2 linked regions of the Oryctolagus cuniculus genome follow. The protein of the gene in region 1 purifies or fractionates together with the protein of each later gene. This does not show direct contact. Links are inferred from orthologs where the notes say so. Each region holds a gene or a part of one and is shown in the gene's direction. Other genes may lie near its edges.

Region 1 (4,072 bases):
TGAAGGGGATAACTGCAGAATTTTAAGAAAAAAGTGAGGAAGGCTTTCACTAAGGCTAACCTGGGAAGAATGGAGAAAGTGGGCTGGTGGACTGTAAAAGTTATTATGGAGATTAGACACTTCATGTTTTCTAGAGGGATTAATTGGGAAGCCGAACAAGCAGTACCTAATCTCAGGTTTCTGATTAGGGAAGTTACTTGGAGGGTTATTTACCAAAAACAAAACAAAACAAAACAAAACAAAACAAAACACAAGTTTTGGGGGAAAACATAAAACCTGACTCCAAATATAATTATTACCTGTAACATTATTAAGCATTTTTAGATAGAGATGTTAATATATTGTGTAACTCACATTATAGCTTTGTATCTTGATGCTGTCCTCTCTCCTCACCCTCCATCCAGTAGATTAATCATAATTCTTAGGAATGTTTGAAAGATGTTTGTTAGTTGCAACATATCTGAGAAAGAAAGAGGGACGTGGTAAATATGTTGCCCGAATAGAGGCCTAACTAGACCCAAAGTGTGACATAAACTTGTCCGTAGTTATTCCTGCTTTTAGAAAACCTAGCACAGAGCAGATCAACCAGTAAAACGTGGTTGTTGATAATTATATGGAGAAAATATTTAAGTAAAGGATTCCTTAAACCCTGTGAACTGAACTGCACTTAAAATATTTGGGAACATTAGTTTTCCTTGAAATTCAATGTTTGCAAAGCAGTAAAGAAGTGGGGGGTCAAGTGGGCTACGGAAAAAGCGCGTCTGACCATCCCCTCTAAACATACCAGCCCCTTTTTCTTTTTTGCTTCCTTCAGATGACCAATTAGTTCAAGTTTACCTTTGTGAGTTTTTGTGGAAGGCCGCAATGGCGGTGGACACCACAACGAAAGGACCCTAGGGTCCGCAACAGCAAGAGTTGCATTTCCTAGCCGGTTCAGGGGCTGGCGGTGCCGGCGTCCCACAGCTCGCCTGCGGCCGGGGAACACAGAGGTGGGCCTGGAAAAAGGAGGACACCCGAGAGGCGGGGGCGGCCCGAGCGCAAACTTCCGCCTCCTCCTCCCGGTGAGACGGCAGAAGCCGCAGGACCCGCGCGGTCTGCACCGTGCGTTTCCCCTGGGACGCCCGCTCGACTCTCGAGTAGTCTCCAATTGGCCGCCAGGGGAACGGAAGCCGAAGCAGAGCAGTGAACCCGGAAGTGCTTCGCGGCGGAGGCCTGGGCGACTCTTTTGAATGGAATAGGGCTGATTCATCGCCGGTTCGTGGAGCCAGAGCCGGGCCGGGTCTGAGCCGCTGCCGCTGCCGCTGCCGCCGCCGCCTCCGCCGACGCGTTATCCCCGCTGCAAGACAAGGGTCCAGACCGTGGCCTCCTGTCCCTGCCTTCCTTCAGGTAAGACCGAGAAGGCAGGCCCGGGAGGGCTGGGGAGACAGCCGCGCTAGGCCGCTGCCATCCCCGTGCTTTCCTGAGTCATGTTGCCCAGCCGAGTTGCCACTGGAGGCCGGGGACCTTAGGGAGGAGCCCAGGCTCCTTCGTACTCCTCGCAGGTTCCTCGGGGGTCTCTGGCAGGGTCAGATCGGGATGTGGTTTCCTTCTTCAACTGGTTTTTGCTTGACTAATTCCCATCGTCTTGGGAACCTATCCTCCTTATCCATGGAGAGCTCTTGTTTATGGCCTATTTGCCTGTGCTCTATTGGTAATTAGTCCTGTGTTGAAAAACGTCAAAGCTGACAGAGGAAACAAAGGAGAGGGAATAAAATGAACTTTTACATTGATTGCATGTTGATTTATGATCTGTCCCTCCGGTGGTTTGGCTTATTTTCTCTTAGTGATAGCTTTTCAAGTCCAAAAAATAACCGAAACTTCTCCGAGATGCAAGTCTTTAACGTTGAATATCATTAAAACTAACAGTAGTTATTCAGGTTACGCCTATGAACTTATGTTCAATGTTGTCCTAATTGAGTAGCTGAAAGTTGATCACATGTCCCGCTTTCAGTAAAAGTTGAAATCTGCTACTCTGTGTTACTTCCCGGAACTTTTTTTTTCCTGGGGACTTAGCTCCCTACTGTCAAAAGAATAAAAATGTAAACTTTTTAAAGGAATGTCATTATAGATCTAGTCACTGAGTCAGAATTTCTAGAAATTAAAATGGTAAACAAAAGTTGGTAAAGATGTCATGGGAAAGTCAGGAGAGGCTTGAAAAATTAGCATAGTGTTTTTCACTGCTCATGAAAGTGTTTTTCGTGTTGCTGACTTGATGTGTTTGAGTAAAGCAAAAGAAAAATACTAATGATGTGGAAATAAAAACAACTCAGTTTGGAGATGATTAGTATAATGATAGCCTTTTTGTTTCATAAGACCACTAAGTGGCTTTTTTAAAATTTAAATTATGTATGGTTTTTTTTTTTTTTTTTATTTTTTTTGACAGGTAGAGTTAGTGAGAGAGAGAGACAGAGAGAAAGGTCTTCCTTCTGTTGGTTCACCCCCCCAAATGGCAGCTACGGTCGGCCAATCCAAAGCCAGGAGCCAGGTGCTTCTTCCTGGTCTCCCATGCGGGTGCAGGGCCCAAGCACTTGGGCCATCCTCCACTGCACTCCCGGGCTACAGCAGAGAGCTGGACTGGAAGAGGAGCAACCGGGACAGAGTCTGGCGCCCTGACCCGGACTAGAACCTGGGGTGCCAGCGCCGCAGGTGAAGGATTAGCCTGGTGAGCCGCGGTGCCGGCCTAAATTATGCATGTTTTAAACAGATTGCATGGGTTATAGTGCATTTATAGAAATTGAGAGATATGCTGGCTCAGAATTAAGGAAAGATGTGGTTACTGAAGCCGTAAGTGGAAAGCCTGTCTTAAATTTGTCCCTAACAAAGTTAAATCTTGCCAAGGGAAGAAAGTTTTGAGTCATAACCTTTTACTAAAGCTTCACCTATTGAGTTTGGAAGATCCCCCACCCTCCTCAAAGTGATTGGTTAATAATACTGTCATTGTAATTGAAAAGTTGAATTTTAACCTGTCTGCTGTAGATTCTTCTTATTTTGTAATTGCCATATAAACTTTGTGCTTAGTTTTTAAATTCAGAACCACATGTTTGGAAAATTAATTACATGAAGCTATTGTACTTTTTTAAGAAATACTTTTATTTATTTATTTGAGATATAGAATTACAGACAGAGAGAGGTGGAGAGAGAGAGAGGTCTTCCATCTCCTGGTTCACTCTCCAAATGGCCACAAAAGCTGGAGCTGAGCCGATTCAAAGCCCAGAGCCAGGAGCTTCCTCACAGTCTCCCACACAGGTGCAAGGGTCCAGGCACTTGGGCCATCTTCCACTGCTTTCCTAGGCCATAAGCAGAGAGCTGGATCAGAAGAGGAGCAGCCTGGTCTCGATTCTGCACCCATATGGGATGCTGGTGCTGCACTGGAGGCTTAGCCTGCTTCTCCACAGTGTCAGCCCCCGCAATTGTACTTTTTTGTTTTCAAATTCATAACAATCTTCCTTTTGTAGTTTCATGTACACCTGTGAAAATCTTGCCTACATAGTCTTGTGATTTCTAATGAATTTATCTCATACCCTACTTGTGTACTAATTTGACATTTTGTGTTCTGCTTGGTGATATTTTGGTGTCCCCGTTTATAAAATGAGAGAACTAGATTAAATCTCTCCCAGTTCTAAGATAATAACAGTAACAGCATTTATTGAGTACCTAGGATATTCAGGCTTAATCTCAGCAGATTTGCAAGGTAGATATTATACCCATTTTAGAGATGAAGTCGAGTTCAGAAGAAGGTACCTTGTTCCAGTAAGTAGGTTGTAAAGCCAGGATTCAAATCTAGGTTGACTGGTAAGACTTTCCTCCATACAGCTGTCCTTTTACATTACATAGTTTTTACAGATTTATGTCATACTCTCCTCTCCCTCAGGTTTTTCCAGTGCAAACTGCTGTTTCTTGAGTATGCAAGACAGTATTCAGTAAATGTTTTACTTGAATGCTGTGATTAGGAGACATCATAGATTTTTTATAATTCCCTTCTTTTAAACCCTGGAAGGTCTTGCTTCACTAAATCTTGTTTGTATAATTAAGT
Region 2 (3,567 bases), on another chromosome or scaffold:
CTTTACCCACTACCTCACAGCGCTAGCCCCCCATGTATGATTGTTGATCCAAAGAAAAGAAACTGATAGTCCCTTAATGAGGTGTAATCTGTTGCTCTGGGGGCCACGTACTATTGATTTTCTGGAAACATCAATGCTTTTGTTTCTTTGAAGGGTAGAGTGACAGAAAAGGAGAGATTTTTCCATCTACTGGTTCACTCCTCATATGCCACAACAGCCAGGGCTGGTCTAGACCAAAGCCAGGAACCTGGAGCTTCATCTGGGTCTCCCATGTTGGTGGCAGGGGCCCAAGCAGTTGAGCCATCCTTTGCTGCTTTCCCAGGCACATTAGCAGACAGCTGAATCAGAAGCAGAGCAGCTGTTTGCGACAGCACCTTAGCTTGCTGTGTCACAGTGCTGCCCCATGGAAGCATCAGTGTTTTTTGGAGCATTTGGGTAGTTTTCTTTAGAAGTTCAATTAAAAGAAACACAAAATACTAATAGTGATATTTACAACAACTGTCGAAGAATCATCAGATCTCTGGTTGGAAATCTTTATCTAATTTAGGACCTAATTTATCTAATTTAGGCCTTTCTAAGACATTGTTGCTTAGACCCTTTTGAACATTTTAAAAATTAGAGGTTTATTTTTTCTTAGTTAATCTAACTTTTTTTTTATGATCATATCTATTTAAAAATTTCTTACTAAATAACCTTAAACTTGCGTTCATATAATTTGTATCTGTTGGTCCTTGTTCTCTGTTCTCTTTAGTGCATATGACAACACTTTAATGTTTGGACTCACTTTCAGTGACAGCCTGCGGTTTCTGTTCTCAGGACCACGCATCACAGATCTGTCACTCTTTCCTTATGGGTCTCTCTGATTTCCAGGCAACACTCTACTCCAATCTTCTCTTCTTTTTGCCCTGCAGTTTGTTATTGTTCCTATATCAAAAAATAAACAAACAAAGCAAAAAAAACCCACAGTTTGTCCTCCTTTGCTCCTCAGATAAAATATATCTTTGCGGGTAGGCATTGTGGTACAGCAGGTAAGCCACCACTTGGGTGCCTGCATCCTGTATCAGGGTTTGAGTCCTGCCTCTGCTTCCAATCCAGCTTCCTGATAATGTACACACTGGGAGGCAGCAGGTGATGACTCAAGTATCTGGGTCCCTGCCACCCACACAGGAGATCCAGATGGAGTTCTAGGCTCCTGGCTTTGGTCTGGCACAGCCTTAGCTATTGCTGGCATTTGGAAGTAACACAGTGAGTAGAAGATTGCTCTCTCTCTCTCTGCCTTTCAAATAAGTGAAAATAAATAGAATTTTTAAATATTTTAAATAAGTAAATATGGTTTTGTAATTATCTTTAGGATTTGTGAAGTTTTTTGGAAACTTAGCTGTCATGGATAGTCCTCAACAAATCTGTGAGCGTTATCCTGTCTTTGTGGAAAAAGTCTTTGAAATGACAGAAAGTCAGGACCCCACCATGATTGGTGTAGCGGTAGACACAATTGGAATCTTGGGATCCAATATTGAAGGAAAACAAGTTTTGCATAAAACAGGTTGGTATGACTTGTCTTGGTTTTCTTTGAGGATATCTTAATTTTTGACAAGATTTTCAGTAATCAAGTTCATTTGCTGATAGGTTAGGTACAAAGTAGAAACTGCTGTTATGGGTGGCAGTCTTCTTATCCATCACCTTGGACTTCTCCCTCAAAGTCTCATAATTAATACTGAAAACCTTTTCTATTTCACTTCTTACTGTTTAGGACTCTATTTTCCAACTTGGGTCACTTTCCCTTCTACATCTTCCTTGAACAGAAGACCATGTCATATTTCAGTTCTAACACTGACTTAGCTTTTTGAACTTCATTTATTCTCTTCACTCCTTTAAGCCTCATTTTCCTCAAAAAGTGCATAACAGCCACTTCTCAGGGTTGCTGTGAATATTTAATGAAATTTTATTTTTTGTAATGTTGAAGGAAGGGAAACAAAAGTTTGTTACCAGATTTTATGTTTAAAAAGATATTTTTATGGCATAGCCAAGAGTATCTTAACACAGTGAATTCTACACAAAAAGATAATATGCGGCACTATTATGAAAACCCTTGTGAAGTATATATTGAAAAATTAATATGCTGTTGTATCACAACTCATATCTGTGTAATATGTACTTTTGTGAGTGCTTTTACCTATGACATACAATCCTTTTACAATCTTGCTAAGAACATAAAGTTAAGAAAATTTTCCAAGACTATGCAGACTGGAACAGCTTATACTCAAATCCAGGTCGTTTGATTCCAGTTCCGTGCACTTTGCTTTATATGTGCTACATTGCACATAATTGTATGTTTTAGGTCTGTCATTTGACTCTGGGTATATTCCTATTTTTGTGTTGGTTTAAGTTGGTATGGTTATAGTATATGAAAGTATTCTTTTTAAGCTCATTTTTCACTTTGCAACTATCAAGATAGTTATTTAAAAGAAAATATAGGCCGGTGCCGTGGCTTACTAGGCTAATCCTCCTCCTTGCAGCGCTGGCACACCAGGTTCTAGTCCCGGTCGGGGTGCCGGATTCTGTCCCGGTTGCCCCTCTTCCAGGCCAGCTCTCTGCTGTGGCCCGGGAGTGCATTGGAGGATGGCCCAAGTGCTTGGGCCCTGCACCCCATGGGAGACTAGGAGGGGCACCTGGCTCCTGCCTTCGGATCAGCGCGGTGCGCCAGCCGCAGCACGCCCGCCTCGGTGGCCATTGGAGGGTGAACCAATGGCAAAGGAGGACCTTTCTCTCTGTCTCTCTCTCTCTCTGTCCACTCTGTCTGTCAAAAAATAAAAATAAAAAAAAATTTAAAAAAGAAAATATAAAATAACAAGCACTAGGATATGGAAAAATTGTAATCTTTGTACTTTTGGGTGAGAATATGAAATGTTATAACTGCTAAAGAAATTAGTATGACAGTTTCATAGAAGTTAAACTCACTATATGATCCAGCAGTTTCACTTCTAGGTATATACCCAAAAGATTTCAAAGTAGGGCCTCAGTCAAACACTTGATTACTATATTCATAACAGTATTGTTCACAGCAGCCAAACAAGATGGAAGCAACATCTTTCGATGGTCACTGACAGATGAAGAAACAAAATTTAGTATATACATACAATAGAAAATTACTCGTCTTTTTTAAATTACAAAATTCTGACATACGCTTTCAGGACAGAGGAACCTTAAAGACATTTTGCAGAGTGAAATAAGCCAGACATGAAAAGACAGATTTTATGATTCCACTTAGAGATAGCTAGAAAAGTATAGAGATGCGGAGTAGAGTAGTGCTTCCCAGGGGATGAAGGTAGGTAAGAATGTGAATTATTGTTACTCATACAGAGTTTTGGTTTTAGTTGATGAAAAAGCTCTGGAAATGGATTGTGATGATTGTTGCACGTTAATATTAATGTACTAAATGGTTGAAATGGTAAATTCTATGTTTATTTTATACCCAAAAACCTTGTCCTTCAAAGGAACTCGCTTTGAACACCTGCTTAAGAGAATAGGACATCAAGCAAAGAATGCCTCAACAGAGCTAAAACTTAG

Evidence for each region. Proteins that work in one complex are often made in the same cells at the same time.
Region 2: the proteins of PSMD14 (region 1) and PSMD5 purify together in Homo sapiens (affinity purification with mass spectrometry; 6 studies listed by BioGRID and IntAct, with this or other methods). This does not show direct contact. The link is inferred for Oryctolagus cuniculus from reciprocal best matches to the Homo sapiens genes PSMD14 and PSMD5.

Annotation. Positions count from the first base shown.
Region 1 is NC_091434.1:80,409,522-80,413,593, reverse strand, and holds the start of PSMD14 (26S proteasome non-ATPase regulatory subunit 14), read left to right. Parts: upstream 1-1,206; 5' UTR 1,207-1,386; intron 1,387-4,072.
Region 2 is NC_091432.1:224,739,375-224,742,941, reverse strand, and holds part of PSMD5 (26S proteasome non-ATPase regulatory subunit 5), read left to right. Parts: intron 1-1,351; coding exon 1,352-1,543; intron 1,544-3,494; coding exon 3,495-3,567. UniProt on the Homo sapiens protein: Acts as a chaperone during the assembly of the 26S proteasome, specifically of the base subcomplex of the PA700/19S regulatory complex (RC).